Linked DNA regions of Ovis aries. The protein of the gene in region 4 interacts with the protein of the main gene of each other region in a pairwise test. Links are inferred from orthologs where the notes say so. Each region holds a gene or a part of one and is shown on either strand. Other genes may lie near its edges. The genes, in order: SIRT6, HABP4, YAE1, CHD3, PTN, SERBP1 and IMMT.

What was found.
Region 1: the proteins of CHD3 (region 4) and SIRT6 interact in a two-hybrid assay, tested with the Homo sapiens proteins (2 studies listed by BioGRID and IntAct). The link is inferred for Ovis aries from reciprocal best matches to the Homo sapiens genes CHD3 and SIRT6.
Region 2: the proteins of CHD3 (region 4) and HABP4 interact in a two-hybrid assay, tested with the Homo sapiens proteins (3 studies listed by BioGRID and IntAct). The link is inferred for Ovis aries from reciprocal best matches to the Homo sapiens genes CHD3 and HABP4.
Region 3: the proteins of CHD3 (region 4) and YAE1 interact in a two-hybrid assay, tested with the Homo sapiens proteins (2 studies listed by BioGRID and IntAct). The link is inferred for Ovis aries from reciprocal best matches to the Homo sapiens genes CHD3 and YAE1.
Region 5: the proteins of CHD3 (region 4) and PTN interact in a two-hybrid assay, tested with the Homo sapiens proteins (2 studies listed by BioGRID and IntAct). The link is inferred for Ovis aries from reciprocal best matches to the Homo sapiens genes CHD3 and PTN.
Region 6: the proteins of CHD3 (region 4) and SERBP1 interact in binary tests that used the Homo sapiens proteins (3 or more experiments, as listed by UniProt). The link is inferred for Ovis aries from reciprocal best matches to the Homo sapiens genes CHD3 and SERBP1.
Region 7: the proteins of CHD3 (region 4) and IMMT interact in a two-hybrid assay, tested with the Homo sapiens proteins (2 studies listed by BioGRID and IntAct). The link is inferred for Ovis aries from reciprocal best matches to the Homo sapiens genes CHD3 and IMMT.

Annotation. Positions count from the first base shown.
Region 1 is NC_056058.1:17,667,504-17,670,963, forward strand, and holds the end of SIRT6 (NAD-dependent protein deacylase sirtuin-6), read left to right. Parts: intron 1-485; coding exon 486-581; intron 582-658; coding exon 659-739; intron 740-1,301; coding exon 1,302-1,425; intron 1,426-1,510; coding exon 1,511-1,852; 3' UTR 1,853-2,433; downstream 2,434-3,460. UniProt on the Homo sapiens protein: NAD-dependent protein deacetylase, deacylase and mono-ADP-ribosyltransferase that plays an essential role in DNA damage repair, telomere maintenance, metabolic homeostasis, inflammation, tumorigenesis and aging.
Region 2 is NC_056055.1:29,718,269-29,723,095, forward strand, and holds the start of HABP4 (intracellular hyaluronan-binding protein 4), read right to left. Parts: upstream 3,009-4,827; 5' UTR 2,908-3,008; coding exon 2,547-2,907; intron 1-2,546. UniProt on the Homo sapiens protein: Ribosome-binding protein that promotes ribosome hibernation, a process during which ribosomes are stabilized in an inactive state and preserved from proteasomal degradation.
Region 3 is NC_056057.1:82,948,446-82,953,205, forward strand, and holds the start of YAE1 (protein YAE1 homolog), read right to left. Parts: upstream 3,046-4,760; 5' UTR 3,025-3,045; coding exon 2,821-3,024; intron 1,475-2,820; coding exon 1,353-1,474; intron 1-1,352. UniProt on the Homo sapiens protein: The complex LTO1:YAE1 functions as a target specific adapter that probably recruits apo-ABCE1 to the cytosolic iron-sulfur protein assembly (CIA) complex machinery. May be required for biogenesis of the large ribosomal subunit and initiation of translation.
Region 4 is NC_056064.1:27,395,604-27,399,732, reverse strand, and holds part of CHD3 (chromodomain-helicase-DNA-binding protein 3), read right to left. Parts: intron 3,841-4,129; coding exon 3,629-3,840; intron 2,911-3,628; coding exon 2,779-2,910; intron 2,423-2,778; coding exon 2,323-2,422; intron 1,932-2,322; coding exon 1,740-1,931; intron 1,586-1,739; coding exon 1,385-1,585; intron 1,016-1,384; coding exon 878-1,015; intron 620-877; coding exon 498-619; intron 341-497; coding exon 167-340; intron 34-166; coding exon 1-33.
Region 5 is NC_056057.1:102,353,275-102,357,403, reverse strand, and holds part of PTN (pleiotrophin), read left to right. Parts: intron 1-1,569; 5' UTR 1,570-1,570; coding exon 1,571-1,685; intron 1,686-2,804; coding exon 2,805-2,978; intron 2,979-4,129.
Region 6 is NC_056054.1:43,069,763-43,074,580, reverse strand, and holds the start of SERBP1 (SERPINE1 mRNA-binding protein 1), read left to right. Parts: upstream 1-1,492; 5' UTR 1,493-1,578; coding exon 1,579-1,891; intron 1,892-4,818. UniProt on the Homo sapiens protein: Ribosome-binding protein that promotes ribosome hibernation, a process during which ribosomes are stabilized in an inactive state and preserved from proteasomal degradation.
Region 7 is NC_056056.1:58,067,252-58,071,380, forward strand, and holds part of IMMT (MICOS complex subunit MIC60), read right to left. Parts: intron 321-4,129; coding exon 217-320; intron 1-216. UniProt on the Homo sapiens protein: Component of the MICOS complex, a large protein complex of the mitochondrial inner membrane that plays crucial roles in the maintenance of crista junctions, inner membrane architecture, and formation of contact sites to the outer membrane.

The DNA.
Region 1 (3,460 bases), on a different chromosome or scaffold from region 4:
GATAACCCAGGTCGGGCTCCCGAAAAGGTCCTGGTGACTAAGCCTGCCACTTCTAGAGTCAAGGGTGTGGCCCTTCCACGGTGGGATCTGGGCGTGTATCTTCCTCCTGGGAGGTGTGTTTATTTCCTGCAGCTGCCGAGACAACCACAAACCTGAGTAACTTAAAAACAACAGAAATTCATAGTCTTATGGGTCTGGAAGCTACAAGTCCAACATCAAGGTGTTGGCAGAACCATTCTCCTTCTACAGAGTCTTAACCACTAACCTACCAGGGAAGTCCCCAGGCCAGCTTTTTCATGGAAGGCCCCCTCTGCTTCCCCATCCCCAGCCCCTGCTGCATTTGCCAGCTGTCACCTCATGTTTAGATTCTGGTCTTACGCTCCCGCACTTTCCTGGAAAAACAGCTCTGTGTGCTTTTTGCATGAGCTGCCCAGGTGGGCTGCCTGGAAACCAGCGGTGAGCCGACCCTTTCCTCCTCGGCACAGGCAGTATGTCCGGGACACCGTGGTGGGAAGCATGGGCCTAAAACCCACGGGCCGGCTCTGCACCGTGGCCAAGTCCAGGGGACTGCGGGCCTGCAGGTGAGTGACCCCTCCCCATGCCCTGGACCCCAGGGGAGGCCACCAGTCTCCTGCTAACTCCCCCGCCCTCCCTACAGGGGGGAGCTGAGAGACACTATCCTGGACTGGGAGGATTCCCTGCCTGACCGGGACCTCACCTTGGCCGACGAGGCCAGCAGGTCTGACCCCAGTGGGTCCCGGGTGGGTGGGGGGGGGGGGAGGGGCAGAAACACAGCCAGCTCCAGCCCCGAAAGGAGTGATCAGCACCGTCTGGGCCTTGCTTTGCTCATAATAGCTCTTGTGCCGAGCCCTCACATACCATCCTCACCACATCCCAGGGTGGGTGCTGCTCAGGCCTATTTTACAGAGGAGGAAACTGAGGCTGGAGCAACTGGACTCCTCCATCCAGGCTGCCCAGCCCAGAAGTGACTGAGCCAGAATCAGAACCCAGGAGTTCCCCACTAGCAGCTCCACTTCTGCTGACAGGGTTGAGGGGTGGCCCAGCAGAAGGGAAGTGTCAGAGGCAGGCCATGGCTGGGCCCCCAGCAGAGGTGGGTGCTGTGTGAGCAGGTCTCCCGGGACTGGCCCCGTTGTGTTGGCAGAGCAGTGAAGCCATGGTGTTTGAGCAAGGGTCAGGGAGTGTATGTGCTGGCCACCACACGCCCTTGCCTCGTGGGGCAGGAGGAGGGCTGCAGAGATCCTTGCCAAGGGGCTTAAACTAATCCTGCCTCCTGGCCCCAGGAGTGCAGACCTGTCCATCACACTGGGCACCTCCCTGCAAATCCGGCCCAGCGGGAACCTTCCCCTCGCCACCAAGCGCCGTGGAGGTCGCCTGGTTATCGTCAACCTTCAGCCCACCAAGCATGTACGTGTGGAAGCCTATCCCTGATATCACCCCTGGACCCCCCTCAAGCCTTCTCCCTCCACCTGACTGTTCCCCGCCTCCACAGGACCGCCACGCAGACCTGCGAATCCACGGTTATGTTGATGAGGTCATGACGCGGCTCATGAAACACCTGGGCCTGGAGATCCCGGCCTGGGACGGCCCCCACGTGGTGGAGAGGGCACTGCCGCCCCTGCCACGCCCACCTGCCCCCAAGCTGGAGCCCAAGGAGGAGGCCTCCCCCCAGCTCGACAGCCCAGTGCCCGCCAGCCCCAAGCAGGAACCCACAGCTGAGCCCTGCACCCAGCACAATGGTTCCGGACCCACCAGCCCCAAAAGGGAGCAGCCGGACAGCCCTGCCCCTCACAGGCCTCCCAAAAGAGTGAAAACAGAGGTGGTTCCTAGCTGACCAGGGGCCCCGGGGAGGGCGGGTTTTTTTTTTTTAATAGAAACCGTGGGTTCTTTTTCTTTTTTCTTACCAGTCTCACTTTGTTACTCATTTCTGTCCTTTGGGGGAGACCTCAGGGTGCTGAGAGCTGGGCTCCAGGCCCAGGGGCAGACTTGCCGTCCACTGGACCTCCCTTTAACTTGGGGCCTATGGAGGGGGCTTGGCAAGGAGCATCTCTGCCCCAGATTCTGAACTTGGAGCTGACAACCCCACACCTGCTCCACCCCGTCTCCAGCCCCTGACTCAGGGTGTTCTTGGGAGGCGTGACCAGGCCCTCCCTGATTTCCAACCTAAACAGGAATCAAGCCTGTCTGCCCCCTGGACCCTCACACTCCCCAGCCCCTGCCTATCCCCACACAGCCTTCACAGCCCCTCTAGGAGGGAGGGGACACACAGCCACCATTTAGGAGCCAAACTTCATGGCAGGACAGACAACAGAGGTTCACACTGCCTTTGTGGCTGGAAGGAGGCAAGTGGGTCCACCTGACTTCCTCCAGGCTTCCAGAAAAGCCTTCAATGCAATAAAAGCAGACTTTCTTGCATCTTGAGTCTGTGTTTACCATCCACAACCTTGCCCAGGGTCCAATCCCTGGGGGTAGGACTGTGTGGTGCTCGCGGCCCCTGATATGTGTGTGTGTGCTGGGACATTCATACAGTCCAGGCCCGGCGGTGAAGGAAGGGCTTACCAGCTGTTGACATTCCTTGAGTCCTCCATTTGTAAATATTGTTTCTGTGATTCTTTAATCCGTGCCCTCTGCTACTAGGCTGTGAGCCCCTCTAGGAGAGAGGCCACATCTAATCGCGATTGCAAATTCCCCCACCCGACCCCACATCCCCACACCTGCGCAAAGCCGGCAGGGATCCGGGTGTGACTCTAAAGGAAGAGCGTTGGTGCAGCTGGGGTCCATGCTCCCCAGCTGTGACCTTGGGCGAGTCCCTTCATTCCTGACGGTTCAGTCTCCTCATCCATAAGACAAGCCGGGTTGGCAGCCTAGCCCCCCAGGAAAGCAGCTGCCCCAGGCCTTCCGCGGACTCTCTTGAAGGGTCTGGGGCGGGGCGGGGAGGGGCCAGAGCCGTCAGAACCTCGCGCTCCTGGCGCGCCCAGCCCTCCATCAGCCGCCGCTCTCCAAGGTCCTGAAGACAACCCTGGCGCCTCTCGTCGCCGATCCAGCCTTGGGGTCCAGGGACTCCCCCACGTCACTCCTCTATCTTCGGCTGGCCCAGTCCTTCCTTCTGTGGGTTGGGGAGCTTCAGACTCTAATTAGCCCCCACCCCACTCCACCTCCACGCTAGCCGTGTTCTGCCAAGATACTTTATTAAGGATCACGGCAGTCTAAAAAAAGGAAAAGGTTGTGGGTCATGGCAGCGCAGAAGTTTAGGACTCACCCCGTGCTCTGGGGCCAGGGTCCCTGCAGACTTGGCTGCTTTCTACTCCGTGCGTGCAAGCGGACAGGGAGGAGTCCCCAGGGCCGGGGGTGGGGTAGTTATTGAGGCCTGGTGTGTATCGATCTGTCCAGGTCAGGGATCAGTCTGTGTGTGTGTCCCTGTTTCCTTCCGCACCTGCATCTG
Region 2 (4,827 bases), on a different chromosome or scaffold from region 4:
AGAGGTCCAGTTTTTCCCACAACTTACTACTAAGAGATCAGGACTGCAACTGAAGCTAGTCATTCTGTGCTGGATCAGCAGCTCCAAGTGGATAATGCAAACACTGAATTTTACTAGCCCTTTCGAAATAAAAGGCTGGCATATGCAATCTGATCACTGATCTAACCCCAGCCCACATAAAGAGACAGAATACTGTAAAATTTACAGTACGATTTCCCTGAAATAAAGTTGAGCTTTGACTTGGAGAAGTTCTGAAAAGCCAGGAATAGCAAAGCTGAAACAGCCTCTGAAGAATTAAGAATAAATTTTTTGAGTAACGGTCTATATTGTTAAATAGTGAGGGATATTAAAAATCTATTTCTATGGGAAAATCTTATGATTTTCACATCCTTTTGTGACTGTTTGTTAATATGTCAAACTTGTTTTGACTTTGACTCTTGTCTACACTAAGCATTCACTTTTAATAGCCAAATAAACTTAAAAAATTTTAGTGTTAGAGAAGTACAGTCCATATCAATTAGGGTTACAAAACCTTAAGAGGGTAGCTCTCTAACACCCATTACAGATAAATTCAGTACAGTAACTGCACAAATGAAAATTAATGAGCTGTTTGCTCCTAAAATAACACACTTGAAAAAGAACTAGAACTACAAAACTTCCATTCTAACTACAAAATTAACTAAAGTTCTTTAATACAGATCTCAAAAACCAGATCACCTGGATTATAAACAATTGACAGAAAAAGTTATTAGCATACTACATTATAATGCGATGTTTATTTATTATGCTAAATGCAGGCTGCAACTGAGTTTATAACATCTGAAATTTAGGGGAAAAAAAGAAGTAGCTCTGTGCATTTATATGTGTAAATACAAAGTGTTAACAGTAAGAAAAGTATGCATTTTCACTTTACTTCATACACTTCTGAATTGTTTAAAATACAACAAAAATGCATGACAATTTTACTAGTAAAAAGGTTAAAAAGCAATATATTAACAGAGAAAACTAAATTCTGTTTCTCATGAAAAGATAATACATATTTTCACTTGTTAAAAAATAAAGCTTAGCCTGTCCAATTATTTTATTACTATGATATTTATCTAAATAGATTTAAGAGAAAAATAGAACATATACAAAATGTACAATATATCTCAAGTCTCACTCACTGTTTAAATAGGCTTATATATGTACTTGCCTATCAAGAAATCTTGGGATATCTCAACGGCACTTAAAATAATTGTCAATATTATAATGACTTAATTTTCTGATTCTCAAGAGATATTGCTGGATTGAACTCTGCACAGATAGAGGTAAACATTACCTAGCTGCAGAAGTCAGGGCACCAACACTCAAGTCAGGAATTATTCTCTCAGGACTGGGCTGACAATTTTTATCAAGTAAGCAAGGAACAAGCCAGTAAAGCCGAGTTGAATACACTCCCAAACACTGGCTGGAGTGGTCGAATCATGCATCTTAAAACTTTTTTCTGAAACCTTAGGACCACTATTTTATTTTTGGAAAACAGAGGAAACACAGGTGGAATCTTGGAGGCTTTACCACTGAAGCAGTTCAGGTGAGAAACGACTCTTCAGCACCATCCATGCCTAGATGCAGTCAATAGTACACCAAGCTTTGCACCGGCCATTCTGGCTAAGCAGGGAGTGGGGAACTTTGCATATTCTTGTTGAAAAGGTTAAAAACGCTTTTCTTAAAGCAGCCTGAGTTAATGACAAGTTACACAAGCCATCAACACTACTTGCTGTATTGAAAACCCGTGCGGGGTGACTGTTGTAAGCCACCGCAAGGGAGGTGGATGGGTGAAGGCACAGAGCTTGGAAGGCGCTGGGGACCCCGCGTCAACCCCCGCCGCATTCTGCTCGGGGCCCTGACGTCACAGCCCACCCCCGCGGTCACCCAGGCCTTCCCTCCATCACAGAGGCCCTAGCTCCTCACCCCGGCGATCCTTTCACACACCCCGAGTTCTCGCCGCCACCCCCAGGGGCCGGGTGCGCCCTCCTCCATTCTCCCTAAGAGGCACTCCCCTCCCTCCTTTCCACGACGCTTCTTTTCGCCTCCCGACGCGAATCTTGCAGAGGTTCGGCTGGAGGATGGAGAAGGTCCCTGCTAGTTTTAGATCTGAGAGCCCTCGGGCAACGACCCCAGTGTTCACCCTCATACACCACCCAAGAAATATCCCTCAACTTTGCCCAACTTGTAAAGGCTCAGTCCCACCGTTCAGAAACCCCCTACTCCAAGCCTGCACTCTCCTTCGCTCCCAGAAGGGACTGGGAAAGGCCAGAAGGGGCGTGACACTCCCCCTACCCTGTCCTTTTTCCCACCTTCCTCAGCCACTGGGACCCTCAACTTCGGTCAACTCTTCCCAGCGCCCCCTTCCCTTTCTGGAACAGGTTCCAGCGACCCCAGTCTCGCAGTAGCAGGTCCTGGGGCAGCCGAGGAGGAGTGACCTCCATGACCCCATTCTCCTTCCCCTCCCCGCCCACCGCGCCCACCCTGGGACACCCAGGTGCTGGGCTGGGCGCGCGTACCGGGCGGCTGCGGGCCGCCCCCTGGGCTATCTGGCTGTTGCGAGCTGGGGGCCGGGAGGCTCTTGCGCTCCTTCTGGGACTCCCTCCGGCCGCCGCCCGCGCCGGGTCTGTGGCCCGAGGCCCCAGCCGGGCTCCTGCCGCCGCGGTTGCCAGCCCCGGCCGCCGCCGCCGCCGCCTCGTCGCGCCTCTTGCGCTGCAGCTGCTGCTGGCGCCGGCGTTCGGCCTCGCGCAGGATGTCGAACGGGTCAGACTCATCGTCTAGCAGCTGGTGGAAGCGGTTGGCCACGACGCAGCCGAAACTCTCCTGCATCGCGGCGCCTGCGGCAGCCGCAGCCACAGGACTTCCCAGAGCGCCCTTCATGCCGCCGCGGCCACTGCGGGCCCGCCGCGGGCAGCCCACGCGAGCGAGTCTTAGCGAAGCCGGCGATGAGGACCCATCCTACCCGCAGCTACTGCCCTCCCAACCCTGCCCTGCCCAGTCCCGTCCCTCCCAGCGCCCGCCCCCGCACAGCCGCCGCCGCCGCCCGCCTAGCTGCTTCCCACCAGCCAATCAGCGCACGAGGGCACGCCCCCTTTCCTAGCCGGCACGCCTGGAAGCCCAATCAGAGGCCGGCTGCTGTCACGTCAGGCGACCTCTATGCCCCGCCCCACGACTCAGCAGGGAGGGGCTGGACCCAAGGGGCGGAGCTGCTGGGAGGAGCAACGAATCTTGTGGTCCAGGCTGCTGGGCCATGCTGGTGGGTCACGGCCGTCATTTGTGTTTTCTCTGAGACTGGGTCCACATTTATCATCTTCCACTCTTCTTTGAAGTGTATATATTGATTCGACAACTATATAATGTACACTTACTATGTGCCAGGTGTTATGTTGTAGGAGATACTAGCTCCCTGTTTCGGAAGATCTTAGTCTTAAGGCAGAAAAGTGCCCTGAAGGAAAGGCACAGACTTCTCTATGACCTACTTAAGAAGCTTGGAGAGGCTTTCCCGCGGGAATGACGGTTAAGCTGAGATATGAAGGATAGCAAGGGCCAGGAGTAATGGCAAGTGCACAAGTCTGAGGTGGGGTGGAAAGCTCAAAGAAAACCAGTTAAATGAATTGCTAAGAGTTGGGGAGCTGGCATCACTGATGCGATGGACATGAGTTTGAGTTGGCTCCAGGAGTTGGTGATAGACAGGGAAGCCTGGTGTGCTGAAGTCCGTGGGGTCTCAAAGAATCAGACACGACTGAGCGACTGAACTGACTGAAGAGTTGCTGCTGCTGCTGCTGCTGCTGGTGGTGGTGCTGGTAAGTATCTTAAGTCGTGTCCGACTCTGTGCGACCCCATAGACAGCAGCCCACCAGGCTCCTCTGTCCCCGGGATTCTCCAGGCAAAAACACTGGAGTGGGCTGCCGTTTCCTTCTCTAATGCATGTATGCATGCTAAGTCGCTTCAGTCGCGTACGACTCTGTGCGACCCCGTGTAGATCAGCCCCCAGGCTCCCCTGTCCACGGGATTATCTAGGCAGGAATACTGGAGTGGGTTGCCATTTCCTTCTCCAGACTGAAGAGTTGGGGAAGAGCCTTATTTTGGTCTTTATTCCAGGAGCAGCAGGAAGCAAATTTTAAGCATGAGCATGTGTTTAAAAAGGCCACCTTAGCTGTAATGTGAAGAACTATGTTGGTGGGAGGTCAAATTAGATGCAGGGAAATCAAGCTGAAGATTCCTACAGAGCTACATGGAAAAGGTGATGATAAACACTTGGAGTAGGATACTGTCAGTGGAGGTGAAAAGAGTAGTAGATCCAAGAGCTATTTTGGAGGTTATATCAACAGGACTCGATGATGGACTAGATACAGCTGGTGAGGAAAAAGAATTTGATGACTCCTGTTTTTCTGGCTCTTACAACTGGAATGGTGGTGTTATTCACAAAGAAATCATTAGAAGAGACCACTTTGATGAGACTCACAAGTGCAGTCTTGGACATGTTGAGATTTAAGGTTTTTGTTTTTGTTTTGTTTGTTTGGTTGGTTGTTTTATTCAGTTGAGGCCTTGAAGTTCAGAGGAGAACATGAATTAGACTTTCTCCAGGAATTCTTGCTTAGGCACTCATGGAGACACTTTTCTACACTGCCTATATTACAACTCTTCCTTTCCCTCTTACACTTTCCCAGAAATGTGTTTTGTTGGTGCATCAGGTAGCTGTTTGCCCCATTTGGGAACTTGGCCCTTTTCTAGCCTCAGACTTGATTAATCTTAAATCACTCTTTGTACTGCCATTCCCCTACCATGATTGCTGTAGGA
Region 3 (4,760 bases), on a different chromosome or scaffold from region 4:
TTTTTTTAAAAGCTTCCCAGCTGATAACAAGGTGTAACCAAGGTTAAAAATCACTGTTATAACCGTATAGCTGCTTGACATCAAAACTGAAGGTGAGGGGAAAAAAAGTTTTGAGACAACTCACTTTTCCAACTTTGTTAGATACTTTACTAACAATTTTATTGAAGGAGGTTAGAATTCTTCCAGTCTTAATAATTATTTTTCTTTACTTTTTTTTAGTATAGATAGTACTTTTACTTTCCTACATTCATATTATTCATCTCACGAAATAATGGTTATTGTGAAAAGTAATAATGTTAGCAATAAGGTTTTTTTTTTTTGCCATGTCACACAGCTTGTGGTAACTTAGTTCCCAGACCAGGGACTGAACGCAGGCCTCGAAAATAAAAACATGAAGTCCAAATCCACTGCATTGCCAGCAGATACCCTGCAATAAGTTTTCTAAGCTTATAAAAAATTAATTTAACTTGATGTGAAGATGAACACATGATCATTTTCTTACTATAGTATACTATAAATGCTGATTCCTGACAGCTGAATTTTATAAAACCTCAAATGTAATGAACTTTTGTATTGATAACTTTTTTCTAATTTTATTTTTAATTTTTATTTTTTTCTTGGCTGTGCCATCTTATGGCATGTGGGATCTTCATCTCCTGATAAGAGATCAAACTTGCATCCCCTGCATTGAAAGTGCAGAGTCTTAACTACTAGACTGCCAGGGAAGTCTCTGTCCTGTTAACTTTTATTGCATACCTTGTAAAAATCAGTGATTCTTTGAAGCATTTATGTTTTTCTCTATAGAGGACAGGTTAAAAGGTACAAAGCATCAAAGAGGACAAGCATGCCATGCTCGTAGCTCCATGTGCCTTTGGACCACTTGGTTCTAATACATGCCATTATTCCTATGACATCCTGACAGGTGTTCAACGTTCAGAAACAAAGTAAATGGAATACTTTTTCTGTTACTAGCTATACTCTTCATCAGGTATCGCTAGTCTAGACATCTGTTTTATTGTGTTCTGCCACATGTGCAAGAATAAAAACGTTACCCAAAACCTGAAGATTTTTTCAATTACTTTGAGATACAGATTGGTGGTAGTTCAGGTAGCAAAAAAGAAGACACCTTTGTATCATTTCTTTGCAATAAAAGATAACATCTGGCTCACATATTAAAGTGGATAACTGCTGACTTTTTGAAGGCAATTTTAGTCTATGCTCTGCAGTACCCTTTCATGGCTTTAACACTAGGGGAAGCAGTTCAGCTTACACTTTCTTACATATTACTTTCATCAAAACCCTCCACTAGTACAAAGGTTAAAATAATTCAGCATTTAAGTTTTAAAAATTACCTCAATGTTCCTCTAAGTTGTCCATAGTTTATGATGACTTCTGCACCTTCCTTATAACCTTGATTGAAGCCTTGTTGAAGAGTAACTGCTTTGCCAGCATCTATTCCATCTCTGTAGCCTTCCTAAATATAAGTAATGAAGAATTACAGTTGTAACTTAACACCAAGTAAACCAGTGTAGATTTTTCTAGAAAGTCACAGAACCAATTTAGAAACTGATGAAACAGGCCTCTATTGTGTTATTTAACATCATGGTTCTATAACATATGGCATAATCACACAACCAAAGTAGACTATGCTTCTCATAAAAGTTTATTGTTGGCTTATCCCATTTTTGTAGTCTAGATTTATTGGACACATTTTAAAATATTGATTCTACATATATACAAAAAAAAAAAAAATCCGTGTTAGCAATAGCTCCACAGAAAGGAAACATGGAGAATTAGGTGTCTGGTCCTTTAGAAACTGGATTGGTGTGAGTGGATAAGGCAGGGCAGGGTTACCAAGGTCTTGGAACTGGAGTAGGGAAAGAGGAAATTGGTATAGTAAAAGGAAGATGAGAGGGCTGGTTTTAGAAATTCTGCTTGATTTAGAAATTTTCCTTAATTTAAGTAAACTGAAAATCCTCTGTGCCCAAGGATTTTGTCCTGCCACAACACTCAAAAGGTGCTCAATATTTACTGGTTTAGCCCCAGCTTCACATAAGGCATTTCTGAAGTTGACAACATTGTTGTTGTGCTAAGCAAATATTATTTTACTGAGACATTAAACAAGGGCAGACTTAATGGCAATTTAATGGTTGGCAAGGACACTAGCAGGCACAGATCTCATCATTTGGTCCTCACCCTGAACTAAGCTCTGAAAGCTCCACCTGGAAATGGTGTGCGGTATTAAGCTGAGACTCAGTGAAGAGTCAGACAAATTAGATATGGATAATTCACACCCAACAAATTAAAAAAATACATTAATACTCCCTTAGGTAGCCACCACCATTCCTTTATTTTGTTCAGTCGCTCAGCCTTGTCTGACTCTGTGACTCCATTCCTTATTAGCTTTCTCTTACTGCCCTCTGACAGCATTCTTAAGTTCACTTTTTCCATCTGTCCTGATTAACACTACTCCTAACTTTAGGCTCCCCACTCATTCAAGCAACCCATGTCAACTGCCTACATGTCCTTTGACAGACATAATTAGAACAGTGTAAATGTTTCTCCTCCACCCCTTTTCCTCTGATGCCCATCAAACTGAAATCTCTTCAAAGTCTTTGACAAAGGTTATATTTTTCGGTCCCCGGTGTCCATCCAACACACTCCACGGGCGCTCGAGGAAAGCATCCTGTGGTGTAGCACGGTTTCAAGTAACCCACTGGGAAACTCTAGCAGGACATGGGCCAGACTGAATGGTACGGGAGAGGGAGGGCAGCGCCAGGCCAGGTCGCGACCACTCCGGCCTTCATCCTGGGACCCCACCTTCTCACAACTCCCAGCTCCAGCGCTAACAACCCGGTACAGCAACGGACCCCCGCCCTCTCCACGCAGCTTTACTTTGACTCGTCTCTGCATATGGCTCTGCCATTCCCGCTGCACCAGGAGCGACTCATCAGCTTCCTCGTCAAACACGTCCCCCTCCTCTTCAGGACCTTGGACCAAAGAAGCAGCTTGAACCCACGACATCACTGAGGCAACCACCGGGCTGCCGGACGCCGGAAGGGCCGGCAACTCCTTCCGGTCCGAGGGGCGGAGCGAAGACAGACTGCGGAGCTCGCGGCACCGCTGCGCGTGCGCGTAGATGTGCGTGGTGTCTGAACGCTGTGACCGGTTCACGGAGTGGTCACCGGTCCCAGGAAGGTCCTGGTTTCCCCTCGAGGCTTTTGCTCCCTGATATTTGGAAGTACCCATAACTAAGCTGGAAATGTCGCCGTGCACTTGTGGGCCAGGCGGAGCCCCTCTGACCTTGATTGCGGAAGGCAGCGCCAGCATTCAGTGAAACACTGTGCTCTTCTACCGTGGTGTCTGCTGGGGTCTGGGTTTTGAAGACGCGTGCATTGGCAAAACCCTTTGAGGTAGTTCTTTTGAGGCACTCCGTCATTCCCTAGTGGCTCAGATGGTAAATCATCCGCCTTACAATGCGGGAGACCGAGGTTCAATCCCTGGGTCAGGAGGATCCCTGGAGAAGGAAATAGCAACCCACTCCAGTACTCTTGCCTGGAAAATCCCATGGACAGAGGAGCCTGGTAGGCTACAGTCCATGGATTGCAAAGAGTCGGACACGACTGAGCTTTCTTTCTTTCAGTGCATTTAAAGGTTTGGACTGCCCGACTGTTTCAATTGTTAGGAGCGTGGAACAAAGGACATTAAAGAAGTTAAAATATTGCAGCCCTATTGAGATCAGTAAATATAGAGAGCGTTTATGAAACGAAATATATTTCTCATTGATTCACAGCATCCTTGTCTGACTCCTGTTCCTTCTGAAATGCCAGAAAAGACCACTGGTGAGGATGGAGACTTGTCTTTATATAAGACCCACAGAGATGTTATGGGGAGGGAGGTGGGAGGGGGGTTCATGTTTGGGAACGCATGTAAGAATTAAAGATTTTAAAAGTAAAAAAATAAAAAAATTAAAAAATTAAAAAAAAAAAATTCAGCACCGGCACTGTTCCGAATTGTAGTAGGTGTTGAAACAAAAGTTAATGAATGAGTAGATACCATCAGTATTCCTGTTTGGCCCTTTGCGTACTCATGTGGTAGTGTGTGTTCATAGCTCAGTCCTGTGTGACTCTGCAAGCCCACAGACTGTAGCTCTACAGGCTCCTTTGTGCATTGAATTCTCCAGGGAAGAATTCTGGAATGGGTAGCCATTCCCTCTTCCAAGGGATCTCCCCTACCCAGGGTCTCCTGCGTTGCAGGCGGATTCTTTACAGTTTGAGCCACCAGGGAAGCCCATGTGGTAATGATGATTTACTTAGCTAACAAATTTTCTTGAATATTTGCCTTGTGCCAGGCACTGTTATATGCTTTTGAGATACATCAGTGAACAACACACAGAAGTCCCAGCTCTGACATTCATGAGGAATTGCCAGAGGATAAGTAATAAACACTATATAAGTAAATTATACCGTTTGTTACAAGATTATGATACATGCTATGGAAAAATATTTAGAAACAAGCAAAGTAAAGAGAGCTATGGGTATGTGTGTGAGTGAGGGCAGTTAGGTAGTATATGTTACCATTTTAAGTGTTCAGAGAAAATTTTTTGTATATATTCAATATATGAAAAATATATGCAATACTTGGTAGGTCCATGGAATATATAAAAACATTGTGACACTTTGTAACAAAAAACCTTAATAAACTAATCATCCAATATAATTGATAATAAATAAGTTACTCCAATAATTTAAATTATAATT
Region 4 (4,129 bases):
AAATTTCGGGTCAGGATGTATTTGTAGTATTTCCTAAAGCCCAGGGTAGGTGCACAGAAGAGACACAATAATGGAAGCAATTGTGAGGTTACATTTGGTCACCAACCCTTGCAAAGTTGTTACCACATCTTCAACCCTGGTTCAGGGAACCCGCTTGGCATCTCACTTCTGCATGGGGCTCAGCTCCACGCGAACGATGAGCTCTGTTTTGGCTGGCATGTTCTTAAAGACATCTGCCTTGAGCCTCCGCAGCATGTGTGGCCCCAGCAAGTCATGAAGTTTCTTAATTTGGTCTTCTTTGGATATGTCAGCAAACTCCTCCAGGAAGCCCTCCAGGTTGCTAGTAGCCAGAAGGAAATTAAACCACGAACGGGCATTAGGTTCTTTGCCCCTGACCTCAGGCTCTAGTCTTCACTTAAGATGACTCCTCACCCACTCCTTTTCTCAGCTCCTCCACCTCTCCTCTCTGCAGACCACCCTCCTGAGCCACCACTTACTTAAACCTCTCTGGGGTGAGGAAGTTCAGTAGATGGAAGAGCTCCTCCAGATTATTCTGCAATGGAGTCCCTGTCAGCAGCAACTTATGATCTATCTTGTAGCCATTGAGGACCCTGAAAAACTAGAAAATGGGGCAAGGAAAAGCAGGAGAAAGGGTCCATCAGTGGCAAGCAGCTGGCCCTTGGCTCTTCCTGCCTCCAGCTCCTACTTCCTTCAGGATCAGAGGCCCTCAGACCCCTAATTCTGTCCTGCTTCCAAGCTGGACTTCTCCCTGCACTGCCTCCGGGGCTGCTCAAAGTCCCCCAAGCTTTGTCTTTTAGGATGGGGGCAAGTAGAAGTCCAGAGCCTCAAGTTTCTGAGGCCTGGGTACCTCACTCACCTTGGACTGGTTGTTCTTGAGCCGATGGGCCTCATCCACCACGAGACAGGCCCAGCGGATGGAGCCGAGAGCTGCCTGATCAATGGTGATCAGCTCATATGATGTCAGGAGAACATGGAACTTCACCTGTGCCTCCCTCTGTTGACACAACCATGGTCCCTGTGGCTGCCAGCCTGCACCCGAGCATCTAGACCCCCACCCCTGTTCTCTACCCAGACACCCTGTCCTGAGACTCCCAAAGGCAGTTGGTAGTCCAGGCCTCCAACCTTGACTCCATTCAGGGACTACAGGATGTGGCCCTCAAGCTTCCCCCACCTGTCCAGTTTGAAGAGATCCATGAGTGCCCCAGGGAATAACCTGCTACATCTCCAGTACTGGAGAGCAGAGGCATGAGGGAAGGTGGGGGAAGGAGGGAGAAAGCTGAATGGGGAATATAAGAAAGTTCTGGTTGGGCCAATGAAATGACAGATCTGAGGACTTCAGAGGGCATGAGGTGGGGAGTCTGACCTTCATCTTAAAAGCTTTCTTGCCACCTTTGATGGCGTTGTCTTCAAAGGAAAACTCATTCTCACGAATGATGGCTCGGCTGTCCTTGTCACCCGTGTATGTTACTACATAGAACTTGGGTGCCCACATCTGGAACTCCCGCTCCCAGTTGATGATGGTGGACAGCGGGGCACTCACCAGGAAGGGACCCTTTGTGTGGCCCTGGGAGTGGGAGGTGGGGAGAGGGAGCCCCATTAGTTGAGGCTTGCAGTTGTACACCCCACTCCACTGCCTGCCATGCCCCTCCCCTAGTCCTCTGCCCTCACCCTCCACTCCCACCTTCCCCAGTCCAGGCTAGGGCCCTAGGAGCCAGCACCTCCTTATAGAGTGAGTAGAGGAAGACGATGGTTTGTATGGTCTTGCCCAGCCCCATTTCATCAGCCAGAATGGTATCAGTGCCCTGGGCCCATGAGAAGCGTAGCCAGTTCAATCCCTCCAGCTGATACATGTGTAGTGTGCCTCCTGTGGCTGTGATGAAGCGTGGCTGAGTCTCATATTTCACTGTAGGCTGTAGAATCAAATCAGAAAGCTCAGGGGAACCAGCAGCCACTCATCTGGTCCTGGTCTCCTCCCCGTCCCTGGCATTGGTATCAAGTGGGATTGTGAGTCCCTCTCCTCTGGCCTGAGCTTATGAAAGTTCTAGTCTGCAGTGCCTCCCCCTCATTCTTTGAATCAAGACCTGGGAGTACTGCAGGGAAGGAAATGGCAAAAGAGGCCTGTGTACAGCTGTCTCTGGAGACTCTCATTCCTGTGCGCAAGTCCCCAGTAAACCTAGGGCAAAGCTAACTGAAGGAAGAGCTCAAAGAAGCTGTGGAATCTCTGGGATCTGTCAGAAGCTCCCAGGAAGTTTTCAACCCTGAGGCTCCAGAAATGACAGATAGGCCAAGTGGAGGACTTACATCGTTAGTAGGAGAACTGGGAGGCCCATCACCCTGCAGCTCCTTCTTCTTCTTCTTATACTTGCGGGGCTGAGCAGGATCCTCCCCCATAATTAGTTCTCTGGGAAAAGAGTGGGTCTGAGTGAGACTGATGCCTTGGGACCCCTGTCTTCTGAAGCAATTCCAGACCTACTTCCCACTTTCCATAATCTGGATTTTCATACATTTCCTTGCTCCCAGGTTCTTTAGCCTCACCCTTGGATTTCAGCTCTAGAGACCATCCTCCCCACTCCTCAGCATCCTCTTCCCCATGAGTCAGGCTAGATCTTATCTCTGTTCCTCACACTGCCTCTTTATGGACCCCACTGCAAACAACCCAGCCCCAGATCCCATTACTCTAAATTCTAGACTGAGTCTGCACCTCATTTAATGCCCCCACCGTCAGACGCCCTCTAACTCACGATCTGCTTCACTCACCGGTGTCTCCAGTAGCTCTGCTTGTGGTCTTCATATTCAGGGATGTTCATTTCATCTTCCTCCCATGTGGACTGGTCATAGGGTAAGTCCCTCCATTTCACTAGATAGTGGTAATTCCCCTTTTTATCCACACTGTGAAGAGGGAAGCCAGAAGAGGAGGCAGGAGGAGAAAAATAATATGTGTCACAAGTAGAAAAGAGTCATAACAAACACAATTATCAGTTAACACACAGAATTTGTCACCTAATCCTCAATGGTGGGCCTCTGAAAGCGAGTTTAGAAGGCTGAAGGACTACCCTAACTTTTTCCAGATGACTTCCTAAAAATCAACTATCACAAAACATCCCCAACTTTAACGTCATTTGTTCATCCAATCAATATTTACTAAGCATCTACTACATGCCAGGCATGGTTCCAGGCATAGGTGATTCAGCAGAACTAGGCAGACAAATGACTGATTTCCATGGAGCTCACATGCTACCAGAGAAGACCATGATGAAACAGAAAAATAAAAAGACAGTAAAACATTGGTAATGATAAGTACTATGAAGACAGAAGTACTAGAAACATTGGTCTGTATAAGTCATGTTTTGCTTTTATCACATCCAAATCCCCAGATTCCTGTGTCATTTCTTAAGCTGTTCGAGATTAGAGGAAGCAAGGACAAAGGTGTCCGTGCTGGGCTGGACTTTTCTCCTGGTTTCTCCCACCTCCATAGAGGAAACAAAGCCAGAGAGGCTGGGGCTGTGGTGGGAATTACCCAGTTAGATCAATTATCTAACGTGGGGCCATCATGCAACAAGAACAGTGACAAAACCCAGGTCGGCCTTCCCGTGGACCAAGGGCTCACCTGTGGTTGATGATCCGGTGGACGGTCATCCACTCTGGCTTGATGCCAAAACGATAGTACTTCTCCTCCATCTCGGCATAGTGCGGGTCCTTCACCTTGCGCTTGTCACTCTTGCCGTCGTCCTCACCAGAGCCATAGTCCAGGGGTGGGGGCTCATCCATGTCATTCTTCCGTTGGTAGTTTCGGTACATCACCAAGTGGAAGATTTCCAGCTGGCGGGGCACAGAGGAGGGAAGAGATAGTCCCGACATTCTGAGGGGACACAAGGAGCCGGGGCAGTGGCCGGCAGGGGTAATGGTATGGGAAAATGAGCCATGGGAGCGGTGGGATGAAGGACACAGAGAGTTAAAGTCAAAGCAAGAAAATGAGTAACATGCAAGAGAACGGAGTCCGAGACAGGACCTGAGTGGGGAGGTAATAAGTAAAATGAGGAAGGAACAGGTTATTAAGACTGGGGATGTCGGTAAAACATGGTTAAGATAGATAAAGGGAAGAGATGGG
Region 5 (4,129 bases), on a different chromosome or scaffold from region 4:
ACTGTTTCCACTGTTTCCCCATCTATTTGCTATGAAGTGATGGTACCAGATCCCATGGTCTTCATTTTCTGAATGTTGAGCTTTATGTCAACTTTTTCACTCTCCTCTTTCACTTTCATCAAGAGGCTCTTCAGGTCGTCTTCTCTTTCTAATATATATATATATATATATATATATATATATATATATATATATACACATTTAGAGAAAGTAAAAGCATGTAATTTTAGATTTTAGAAAGTGATGGAGATGCTGAGTTGCTAATTAGGACTTATGATTCAGGGAAAGGACCAAATGATCAAAATATTAACTTTAAATGATGAATATGAAATATTCATCCAGATAATGGAATCCAAAGTCATTAACTAAAAAGCAGTAAAATGGGCATTTCCAGTGTTACAGAAAGGGAGAAAAATTCACTGATAAGGATATCATTTTATAGATAGGCTTGAATGAAGAAAGGAAATTACAGAACAGAGTGATCTTAGTCCCTTATATATGTGAAGTTTTATTGTTTACATTCATGAGAATGTAAAATCATGTAAACAGTCTACACTTCTGGAAGAGAAATTCTGAGTTAATGAGCCAATGCCATTACTATCATTTTTATATGAAGTATAGAATATCAGGAACATACTAGATGGAGACCAATGACTACCAGGTGAGTTACTGCAGCCAATGACTTGGTATAGCTTCAAGAAGTGGGCTGTCCTGGCACTTGTCCTGGCGCCTTCCCCAGTATGCTTGGCAAGGCGATCATGTTGACATGATGCTGTCACAAGTGACTTCAAGTTCTAGGGCAGTCTTGCTAATGCTGTCCTGGGATATTTTTTTGTTGATATCAAATGTGGAGATTTCAAATTATGAGTAAATGTAAACCCTTTACTCCATTCTAGAATTTGGAGGATTTTCAGTACATTTGAGTTTAGAAGTGTTTTTGCTGTATATTGAAGGTGTGTTAGCTCTGCTTCTGTTTTGGGCTTCACTTTTCAGTGGATCAATGAATAATACAACTATGATGATAAGACAATCATGATCATGGAAATGATAAAACAAAATGAGAGGTATTGATCATTACGGATGCATCTGAAGATAACAGCAAACATATACTTGCACAGCTAATCTATTCATGTGTCCGCTCACATTATATGCATGGATGAAAACACCATGGTTGTTTTTAGGAATCATCAGGAGTTATAAGGATAACTACAGTCATTGCCATTACCAAGTGTCACTATCAGTAGGACTTACTGTAGGAGTCTGTTCCAATGCATACCATCAAAATTCTTTTGCTTCCATTGCTCTTGAGTCATACTTAGCAAATGGTTGTGTGAAGTCTTATGTGAAGGACTGTTGTATTTTATCAGTGAATACATGCCTGATTGCAGAAGAGCAGTTACTTCAGTGGCTGTTGGAGAAAAGATTGAACTCTGCTCCATATAATTGATATAAATCTTCCTAAAATCTGATATTTCAGAAATGGAAACTGGAGTCCTTCATCAAGAAGTTCAGCGAGCTTTCTTTGACTTAGGTTGACACCACCTTCTCCATTTCTCTGTTTATTCTTAGAATGCAGACTCCACAGTACCTGCAGCAACGTCGAAAATTTGCAGCTGCCTTCTTGGCATTTATTTTCATCTTGGCAGCTGTGGGCACCACTGAAGCAGGAAAGAAAGAGAAACCAGGTGAGCAATATGGTTATGAACAAGAGTCTTCATTGATTAATATCTATCTAATCCAGCTGCTTGCTTTTTTGTCTTTTCTCCTTCCTTCCCCCTCTTTTTTCGTTCTTTCCCTTTTTCCCACTTTCCTTTCTTCCAAGTATGTAGAGGAACACCTAAGTGATATCCCCTGTTATCCCATCCCCCCACTCTAAGTCCTGAAATATAGATGGTGACCATTAACTATTAATTGAAATAATAATTATTAACAGCTACATCATTCAGAAAATTGATTGGCAATCAAATGTTTAATTTATGTTGATATTCTTCTTCGAAAAGAGTCCTGGAAGCAAATTTTGTTTTATCTCATGAACAAAGGAGGAAACTGAATCTTAGCAGGAATAAAGCACCTTTTCCATGTCACTTGCAATGTCATAAGTTGGCTGTGGAGCTGAGACTCTGTTACGTCTGTGGTCTACCACATTTAGTTTATGTTACTCCATCTATGGGCTTCCCTCATAGCTCAGTTGGTAAAGAATCTGCCTGCAATACAGGAGACCTGGTTTTGATCCCTGGGTCAGGAAGATCCCATGGAGAAGGAAATGGCAACCCACTCCAGTATTCTTGCCTGGAGAATCCGATGGACAGGAGCCTGGCAGGCCTGTGAGGGCGCAAGAGTCGGAAACAACTTAGTGACTAAACCACAACCACCACTCCATCTATAAAACAGAGAAAGAAGCATTGACATACATTGGAATGACTAATCTGACAATCGTTAATTTTCATAGACTATTTTCCTATTGTTTAGATTTAACTTGACTTTGATCATCTTCTCTTTTTCAGCAACATTTGCTTCCAAAAGGAGGTGTGTCAGTAAACCACTTAGCGCAGTCCCTGGCACATAGTAAGAATTAAATCAATATTAGTTCTAGCTCCCTAGTTTTCTTTCTGACTTCTCCTGGTCATTGGTTGATTCAGTCATTCATTCAGCTAACACTTACCGAGTTTCTACTCTGTCCTAGACACTGAAGAGAGAGGTAAAATCACAGGCCATGCAATTAAGGAGCTCAGGAATGAACTTGGTTTTATCCAGGAGTTGAAGAGTTTTCTGAGCGTTGATAATTTTTCCTTCTTCCCTTTCAGAAAAGAAGGTGAAGAAGTCTGACTGTGGAGAATGGCAGTGGAGTGTGTGTGTACCCACCAGTGGGGACTGTGGGCTGGGCACCCGTGAGGGCACCCGTACCGGAGCTGAGTGTAAACAAACCATGAAGACCCAGAGATGTAAGATCCCCTGCAACTGGAAAAAGCAATTTGGCGGTGAGTCCCACCCTTACTGTCCTATTGATTTAATCTTCCACCCTGAGATAATTCTTGCATCCTTCCATCGGGTATCTTTTTGAGGTTGACTCTATTTTAACAAGTTTATTTTATCAAATACAAGATAACCTGGCATCTCGCCCAACCTCGGGTCCCTCGTTTTGCGTACTGCTAGAATCTGGAACCAGATAGTTTTCTTGTCCTGGAGGGAGGGCTGCTCTGTGCATAGGATATTTAGCTGCAGTCCTGACCTTTACCCACTAGTTTCTGGTGGCACTCCCCACCTCAACAACTGTGACAGCTGCAAGTATCCAGATGTTGCTTCACGTTTCCTTTCAGGGCGGGGGCAGAGGGTCAGAGTAGTCCCTGATTGAGACCACTGCCTTAGCAGCAGGGACAGAAAATAGGCCCTCGGTCCCTCTTAACAGTGTGTTCTGTCCTTCTATTTCTAGATCCTTTTATCTTCCCTTCCTCTTTTCTTATTTAGTCTCCTCCTTCTCCAGATCTCTCTCTCTCTCTGTTACTTCTGGGCCTTCTCTCTTTCTCTTGCTCCCTCCCCACTTGCCACACTGGTTCATAGCTCTTTACTCACCAAACCCAGATGGACTGCTCTGAGCCACTGTTAGATTTTAGCTCAGTGACTATTGCCAGTTTCATGCTGACCTCGTCTCCCAGTCTGAGAAGGAGTCTTTCAACACTTTTGACCCTAAACCCACCATTGAACACCAAAATTGCCTGTTGTTTCTGCACCCCCCCCCCCCCGTTCTAGACTTGTCTTTCTTGCCATAGTGGGACACAATGCCCTAAGTATTCTCACTCGGTTACAGAAATGTGTTTTGGCCTACTGGACAGTGAAGAAGGGTAATGGATACATACACTACATCTTTTTCATTCTCTGTAACCTTTGGGGTTATAACTTTACATAAGTGGAGGTAAAGTCTATAAAGGCATAGTGAAATTCAGATAAGTTTGATCTTAAATTGTATATAACTAAAGATCTATACATAAAATGTCTTAAAAATGTGGTTTAAAGGTCTTATATATATAAATGTCTAGAATATATAAAGAGCTCTCAAAACTAGCAATCCAATTAGAAATTGGGCAAAAGACATAAACAATCATTTTACTAAAGAGGATACCTAGGTGGCAAA
Region 6 (4,818 bases), on a different chromosome or scaffold from region 4:
CATTCTGTTGTTTTCCTCTATTTCTTTGCATTGATCGCTGAAGAAGGCTTTCTTATCTCTTCTTGCTATTCTTTGGAACTCTGCATTCAGATGCTTATATCTTTCCTTTTGTCCTTTGCTTTTCACTTCTCTTCAACAACATTTAAATCTTATTAAATACTGGAAATTAATTTATATTGATTCATTTCTATCAGAAGGCAGAGTCTGGATTAAAAAATTGATGTCAGGTGTCTCACAGTGGAGTTAGAAGACTGGAGTTAACTCCTGGCACTTAAACTGTTACAGACGTGAACTTGATTAAGTTATTTCAAATAGGAAATGGTTTCACCTGTGAAAAGGGAAAATTATTTACCTAATAAGTTGTTGTCGTCATTAAGGTTATTCATAGTACCTGGAACATGGAGATGCATTTTCTATATTCTGGTTAATAGGAAAAGGTTTAAAAATTATAATACATTCACCCTCACCGTGTTACCAAATATGCTTGAATATGCATGACACCCTTTTAATGGACTTTAATATTCTCAGCTAATACCAATGAGAATTAAAGACAATTCTCTGACATATTTCTCTCCCCTCACTGCACCTCTTAGCACATCACACATTCAGATGCTCTTCAGATAACATTTTAATGTTATTTCTTGAGTACCTTTTACTAACACCCAATCCTTGACTTGCCTGGCACTAATGTCAGCCTAGGCTCCATAAAGTGTTTCTACAAACAATGCCTTTTGGAGGCTTTCCCAGTGTCTGGCTAGTGCTACACCGCCAGGAGTTAACAATTAAAGCACCGGTCGCAAGACGGCACTTCTCATCCAAGAAAAGCGCGCAACACTCACTTTGCTAGTTCAACTTGTCTTTTGGATTAATTCTGCTGCTAGAGTTCAAGTGGCCGCGAGAAGAAGCGTATTCCGCCTCACATTAAACAGAGACGCTTCGATTCATTATTAGGGCTGCAGGAGGGCAACTGCAGCAACTGGGCAACTAGGGATTTGGAAGAGAGCGGGTTCCACTTCCGCGAGGCCAGTGCAATCTGCCAGCCCTGGAAGTTTGTGAGTCTCCACTTGTAAGACTGATAGTCACCTTGACCCTCCCGGAGAGGTGGGGAAAGTTAGTCCTGGGCCGGAGACGGGGAGTAAAACCGAAGACTGAGAACTTTCGCGAGCAAAACACGCCGTCACGTTTTCCTGTTTTCAGCGCAGCAGGAGACGCCGAGAGTTTAAGGGCGGCGATAGCAGGTGGCAGGACTCCGCCTACCACCGCGCTTCTCCCTCAGCTTGCACACCCCTCTCCCTCAGTGAGGACTCGCCTCTGAGGCGCGCGCGAAGAGTTGTTCAGCCGTGTATTCTGGGAGTTGTAGTCCTGGTGCCGGGAGCCGCCTCAGGAAAAGCGACTCTGGCCTACAGACCCCGTGGTACCGTGCGGCGCTGGCCGCTCCCGGATGTGTGCCTAGCGCCGGAAGAGAAGACAGCCCCCCTCTCTCGGCCCGGCCATCTTGTGGGAAGAGCTGAAGCAGGCGCTCTTGGCTCGGCGCGGCCCGCTGCAATCCGTGGAGGAACGCGCCGCCGAGCCACCATCATGCCTGGGCACTTACAGGAAGGCTTCGGCTGCGTGGTCACCAACCGATTCGACCAGTTATTTGACGACGAATCGGATCCCTTCGAGGTGTTGAAGGCAGCAGAGAACAAGAAAAAAGAAGCCGGCGGGGGCGGCGTTGGGGGCCCTGGGGCCAAGAGCGCAGCTCAGGCCGCAGCTCAGACCAACTCCAATGCGGCGGGCAAACAGCTGCGTAAAGAGTCCCAGAAAGACCGCAAGAACCCGCTGCCCCCCAGCGTCGGCGTGGTTGACAAGAAGGAGGAGACGCAGCCGCCTGTGGCGCTTAAGAAAGAAGGTAAAGCAGTGGTAGAAGGTGGGAGACACCCGGGATGGAGGGAAGGAGCGAGGAGACTTGCGGCTAACACTCGCTTCTGGGGCTCCGAGGGTTCGCGGGAGACTTGGCCACTGATATCCCGGCGTTTCCCTCAACGCGACAAAAGCCAGGTCCTGCGAAGGTGTTGGGAGCGTGTTAAGCCCAAGTTCAAACCGCCACCTGCAAGGATACTGGAACCACCCCTTCCCGCCTCAGGTCTGAGCCGAGAAGCGTGGTCGGGATCCTGGGAGGCTGCTGCCTTCCCGCCGGATTCCTTGGCGGGCGAGCGCATGGACCGAGGCTCGGTGAAGGGAGCCACTCCTCGGAGCACTTGTAGTGAAGCGGACAGCGGGGGCTCCGCGGCTTCTTCCTGCTCAGAGCTGCCCCCTCAGTCTGCTGCTCTGAGGTGAGGTTGTCTCCTTCAGGCTACTCTCTTGCCATCTTGTCCCAGGATGGCGCGGGGTACGCCCGAAAAAGAGGGTCGAGTTTTCTGCCCGCGCGCACACCTCTCCGCAGGCATGTTCGAACCGCTCGGATATTGTGGGAAAAGCTGCCCTTTTAGGTGCACACGTGCTTTATTGTCCACCCCTCGCCCCCTCAACTATTACAAACTTAATAACTTGCTGGAGTGACTCAAGCTGTTGGGAGAGGAATTTAGCCCCTCGGGATTGACCAGAAGCGGGAATTCTGAATGAAAACGTGTTGGCAGGAAATCCTGAAACTCGTTCTCGAGTCAAGATCTTTTTATCTACCCCGTCGAACCCCCGCGGACCCACCTCCCCACTGCACGCAGTGTTTCGTGTGGTGTGCCCCTGGCGCGAGCCTCGTGGCTGTCACAGCGGTAGCCACCGCTGAGTCCTTTTGAGTCTATGGCTTTTTCTCCCCATGTGCGTGAAGCGTGGTCGGGATTTCATTGGCGGGTAGTAGCTGCTTCCAGGTCATTGTAAACTTCGCGGGATTGCCTTGAACTTGGTGTTTGCACTCTCCCTCATTGCTGGTTTCTCTTTGGTGGTGGGTGAAAAAGCATAGCAGTGAGGAGTAAGGAAAAATCTTACAGATCCGAAGTAAGTAGGTGTAGGACCTAAGTTCTGAATCGTAGAGATTACCTCTGTGTGTTGAAAGTTGAAATTTTGCCACGTGCTTCAGAAAGGAGTTCTGAGCTTTAGTTGAATTTGATAGCTAGCGTTCAGCTAATTTGAAAATGAAAACAATTGTGTTAGGTTTTGGTTTAGAATTTTTAAGAAATAGAACGTTTTGAGGCTTGGGATGAAGAACCTAGGTGGTAAATAAAACAATTATATTAAAATTACAGGTTGGAGAGGGAAGCACACGTTGGAGTATTAGCATGCATCTTTGAGGCTAAATACTCGGCTAATCTTTATAGCAGGCTCTATAGGCTGTAGCACAATGTAATAAATCGTTTAATTTCTATGTTAAGGAACACTGACTTGTGTAGTCATTTAAACTGTGCTCAAGTTTACCTCCTGTATCGCTAATTCAAAGAAGGTACATGAAAAAATGGAATCTGAAATGTGTTCACTCGTTTTGAATGTTCAAAACATGAGGTGTGCTTTAAACCCCTCAGTTTGATCATAAAGTCCGTTTATGAAATAAACTTTTACCTGGAACCTAGTATTTTAAATTATAAAGTTATTTCATAAATTTATGAGCAGGATTACGTTTACCATTCAGTAGTCAAATTCAATAATTTCCATTATTAGCTATCAACATTTTCCTTAGGTCAGCATTTCAGAGGACACTTAGGCTTAAATTGCATAAAACACAGGTTATAAAAATGTTGAATGAAAAAAGTTCATTTTGAGAGCCTACTATGTAGCAATCATTTCTGGGCATTGGGGAAGTATAGACCTGTAAACAAAAGTCCTGGACTCTTGTAGTAGGAGGGATTGTTAACCTGATCATGTGTTCTGTGCCTTTGAATAGGGGTCCTGGCACAATCAGATATGCTTTAGGTAGGTATTTACTGTTTATATTCTATGAATTTTGTAGTTTATCTTTTGCCCACTTGAGGAATTTGAGAATGGACACCACTGAACATCGCTAAGGTCTATTCTTGTTTGTTTTTTCAATGTTGAAAGCCTGGAATATAGTGAAAAATCTAGAGACACATTTTTAAATGTCAGTTGCTGCGTGGATTTATTTGTGTTTTAGATTCTGTAAGCCTGATAACTGAATATTGGAGTGTGGAAGCAAGCCATTGTTCATCTGGGTGTGTGAGGCTTGGATATTATAAGAACTGGTTCTGTAGCTCCACCCCATACACTCACTACCTCTGAAGAAATTTTTTTAAATGCCTCGGTGTAAGGTCTAATGTTTGTGTCCTGTCCTGAGAGTTTATGTGGAACGGACCTTAAAATTTCAGAGTTTGACGTTTACCATTTGACTGCAAGCAACTGAACAGTTGGGTGCATCTTGGTGGCGGTACACTTTCTTAGAAGCAGAGTGAACCAACTTAATATCTTGTGAAATCAATTCCTCAGGTGACTGTCAGAAATTGTGGTTTTGGAATTAGAGCATACCTAAAATTTTACAGTCATAAATTTAACCATCAGTCTACGTATTATCCTTAAGGCCACCATGGGGCCTTTCGGCCTTTGACACAAACAGAAAAAAGGTAAGGAAGAGGGAAATCAGTAAATGCTTCAGCCATCATTTAGTGTCACAAGTTTCTGTTTCTTACATCTTGCTTAATTTGTGTATGTGGTTTTTAAAGATTTTTTGAAAACATAATTGTAAGGGCAAACCAAAAAAAATTTCTCCATAATAATTGCTTCTGGTTGCATAACAATGTGTTTTAAAACCAGGTGTAGTATGTATGTATATGTTTATATATATACATATATATATAAACTGCAGTAGGAAGAGGGTTAAGTAGCTCTTTTCAACTA
Region 7 (4,129 bases), on a different chromosome or scaffold from region 4:
AAGTAAGTTTCTGCCACATTTATTTTGGCCAGATTATATATTCTATTCTCTCTCTTCCTTTTAAATTTTCATGTTCCTAAAACCAAAATACAGTATAGGTGGAGAAGGGAAGGGTTTCTCTGCCTCCTCTTTCTATGTAGACAGTACAAAGAAAACAGAGCCAAAAGAAAGCCACCAGGAGGCCCTAATTACTTGTCAAAGTCCATGAGTAATTACTTGGCTTTGAGAAGGGCATCAGCAGCCTCATCTACTGCCTTTCTGCGTTCCTTCAATGCACCCTCCACTGTGCGCCACTGAGCTGATTTCTTGTCACCTGCAATCTAAACAAAAAGCTTTAGTTATGAACACATGAATAAACATTAGTACTGTCACAATAACACGACTAAATACAGAAAGTCAAAGGTTAAAAAAGTATATATAACATTCCTCCCAAACAGGAACTCTTAATCTAATGTTCATGAGAGGTTCAAAGAAGTCCATGAATCATCTCCCATCAACCAACCCACCAAAACTGTAAGAGTGTGTTCCAGTGCACAAGTATACTATAAGGAGAGAGAATATTTTTACTAGATTCTCAAAAGGAGATATGAAGCAGAAAAGATGAATAAGAACAACTTGTCACGAACTGTCTGTGAATTAAATCTTTCTTCAATGAAGCATCAGTACTTAAAATTTTCTTACTTGCAGGTCTACTGAAATATTAGTAAGTATAATAAAAAGTTTACACACTTGTGGGGTTTCTACTTCCCCAAAACATTACCCCCAAGAATGACTCTCCATAATCTTTAAGGAGAAAATCAAGTCTTGTCAAGAACACCACTCCACTTTGAGCTGGTTTTACACAATGTGGACTTCATACAAATGTCTCCCTTGGAAATTCCTTAAGGCAGGTTCAACATTTTTTGCTCCAGCATTGGAACTGACTGCCACCTTCTTCAGCTGAGCAGAGCTGGCTCATATTTACGGCATGTATCATACCAAAAACAAAAGCCACCTCTAGCAGAATAATCACACTCTATGAAGCAAGAGGCTCACACAAGAGACGTGTAAGCACCCTTGCAACTGAAGGTGTGGCACAGATGAGTCCAGCTTCCATCCTCCCCCTCACTCTGCATCACATAAACAATGAGCAAGATGCTATCTGCAAGTTTCAACTCTTTAAAACTACTTTTAAAATTAGTTATTAACTATTTTAAATGACATTTCCTTCTCCCTTTCCTTTGCCAAGCAGATATAGGTTAAAGTAGTGTATTATGTTTAGATATGACAAAACCACCTTAGGGCTTATCTTTAAAGTACAGCTGACCATTTAACAACACAGGTCTAAACTGCACGGGACCACTTATATGAAGATCTTCTTTCAGCAGAGTACTACACAATAGATAGCTGGCTCAATCCTCAGATGCAGAAGGGCCAATTATGAGAATTGAGCATCCCTGAACTGTGGTATCCCTGGCTGATACTAGACCCAAATCCCCTGTACATACTGATGCGTGACTATACACTATACCAGGACCTTGGTGAAAAACAGGAACATATTAAATTATCAGAAAATAAAATATTTATTGTCAAGGAAAAAATGACTACAGTAGTTCAATAATTATAGTTCACAAGTCACCAAAGAGAGTCACTGCAAGGGCTGCTGCACACCCAAAACATGAGTGCCCTCTGAGTTAGGTGTCCTGGGCCTTGGATGACCATCCTGTGTCTTCCACTGTCAGAAACACAAGTGGTTTTGCCTCTGAGCCCCAGGCCTGCTACTTGAAGGGGAAGAGGACTCAGTAATGCCTCTGCTTTGGATCATTCACAAGCAATTCTCAACCTTATGCGTTCCCCTTGACATCAAGTGTGATCTTCATTTTAAAGGTATATTCATTATCAACAGAAAGTTTAAACAACCAAGTTCCTTAAGGCAGGATTAACCTGGCCACTGGACCACTGTGACAGTCTGAGGAAGCCTCTCTGAATAACATTTTTAAATGCTTAAAATGAAACTACGAGATTACAAAGGAGCCCAATTACACTGAAATTTGATTAAAAAATATGTATTTTTTAATTCTTTGACACACAAACCAAGATTTAGTGGCAGGACTAATAAATACTCTAATCTAGAAGTAGTGATGAGCATAAATGATATTTCAACAGTCTGTAAGTACCCATAATGTGATAGGAAAATACTTGCGCTCTCTCTTGGTAATAAAGTTATGAATACTACTAACACTACTGCTTTTGTTGTCAATATAAATAAATGAAGGAAAAGCTTTTGAGGCTAGTGAAAATAAAGATATTTTCCATCCAAGTTTAATGAGCCCCTGAATTCTATCCAGACTTGACCCTAGGTTAAGAACTGCTTTTAGAAGAAATACCTGGTACTTTTTTACCTTTGTATCTCACTTTTGAACTTTTTATGTTTTACATAGATTGTTGTAAAGTAACAAAACAAAGTTATTTCATGGTGCAAATAATCAAGTTGAGGTTTAGGTAAACTACCACTCTATCCATCCTGCAAAATAAAATATATCAAGAAAGCATGCTGGGGTTTCTCTGGTGGTCCAGCAGTTAAGAATCCACCTGCCAATTCAGGGACACAGGTTCGATCCCCGGTCTGGGAAGATCACGCCTCGGAACAACTAAGCCCATGGGCCACAACTACTAAGCCTGTGCTCCAGAGCCCAGGAGCTACCAACTACTGAGCCCCTGGGCTGTAACTACTGAAGCCTGCACGCCCTAGAGCCCAAGCTCTACAACAAGAGAAGCCACTGCAAACAGAAGCCCACACACCACAACTAGAGTGCAGTCCCTGCTTGCCACAACTAGAGAAAAGCCTGGACAGCAAAAGAGACCTAGCACAGCCAAAAATAAATAAGTTTTTTCAATTACTAACAAAAAAAAAGAAAGGATGCTGGTTTGGGCCATGTCAGTATCTTGTCATGTGCAAAAAATTTTACAAGACCTTACTGTATGCTGTTACAAGACCTTGATATCATACTAGGATAACTCTTCGTAACTAACCCAAATAGACTCATGAATCATGTTAAGTGTCAATAACATATCTGGGGGCCAAAATGGATCTCCCTCCACTTGTAGAGATCCAAAGATAAGCTGTCCTATAAAACAGACACCAGATTCCCCTACAATCCTCTGGTCCAACTGTTTACAGGCACTGCCTTTTAGAAAGTAACTCAGTATATATTATAGAGTGAGCCTACATGCACCTACAGCTTTTTACTAGAAGAAACAAAGTTGGGATCAATTTTTAACATTCCAAAACTTGTGCTCGTACATTTTTCTGGATTATTTTGTTAACACCAGCTAACTTTGCCTAATCTGGTTAACTTATACTATAAGGTATCCTTTAGTTGTAAAATCTAAATTATAATAGATTTTGTACTGTTCAAGCGACATGCACCACATGTTATATGTTCAGTGGGGAGAGGAAATACCCTCTTATGTATAGCCTTCCACCAAAGTAATACCATTGACATTTTAAAGTTTCTAATCACTGTCCTTCTGAAAGAACTTGGGTTCACACTCAACTTCCTGATATCATGCAACTTTGAGCTTTCTCACATGTATATAATCAGTATATTAAATATTCCCTGTGTGGTTTCTTAGAATGAACTTTTAAGATTTAAGCTTTGTTCTTGGACTTTAAATAAATAGAATCTTCTTTTAATTTTTCCAAGGCTGTAGTTTCTTGGCTGTTTGCAACAGAAGTATAATTTAACTGCTTTGTGATATATGTGCATATGCCTAAAGCAATGTAAAGTGTATTTAACTTTTAAAAACCTCAGTCATGATGGCAAAATAACTTTATTGATGATGCAGAATCCTGATCCCTGAGATTTATTAGGTTCTCTATTTTATTCTTTAAATGACTTGATGTCAAGATGCATTTTTATACACTGAATAACTGAATGTAATGATAAAGGAAATTTACTAAGTCTCAGTATTACATTTTAATTAGTGTAATTACTTTATTCTTTGAAGTGTATAATGCAAATAATCAGCATAAACATTTAAAGTAGCTAGTGTTTTGGGAACCCTGGGATCTCTGTATTATTTCTTACAACTGTGTATCCATCTCAAAGTATCTCACAAAAAAGTATACTTTAAAAAATGGTTGGCA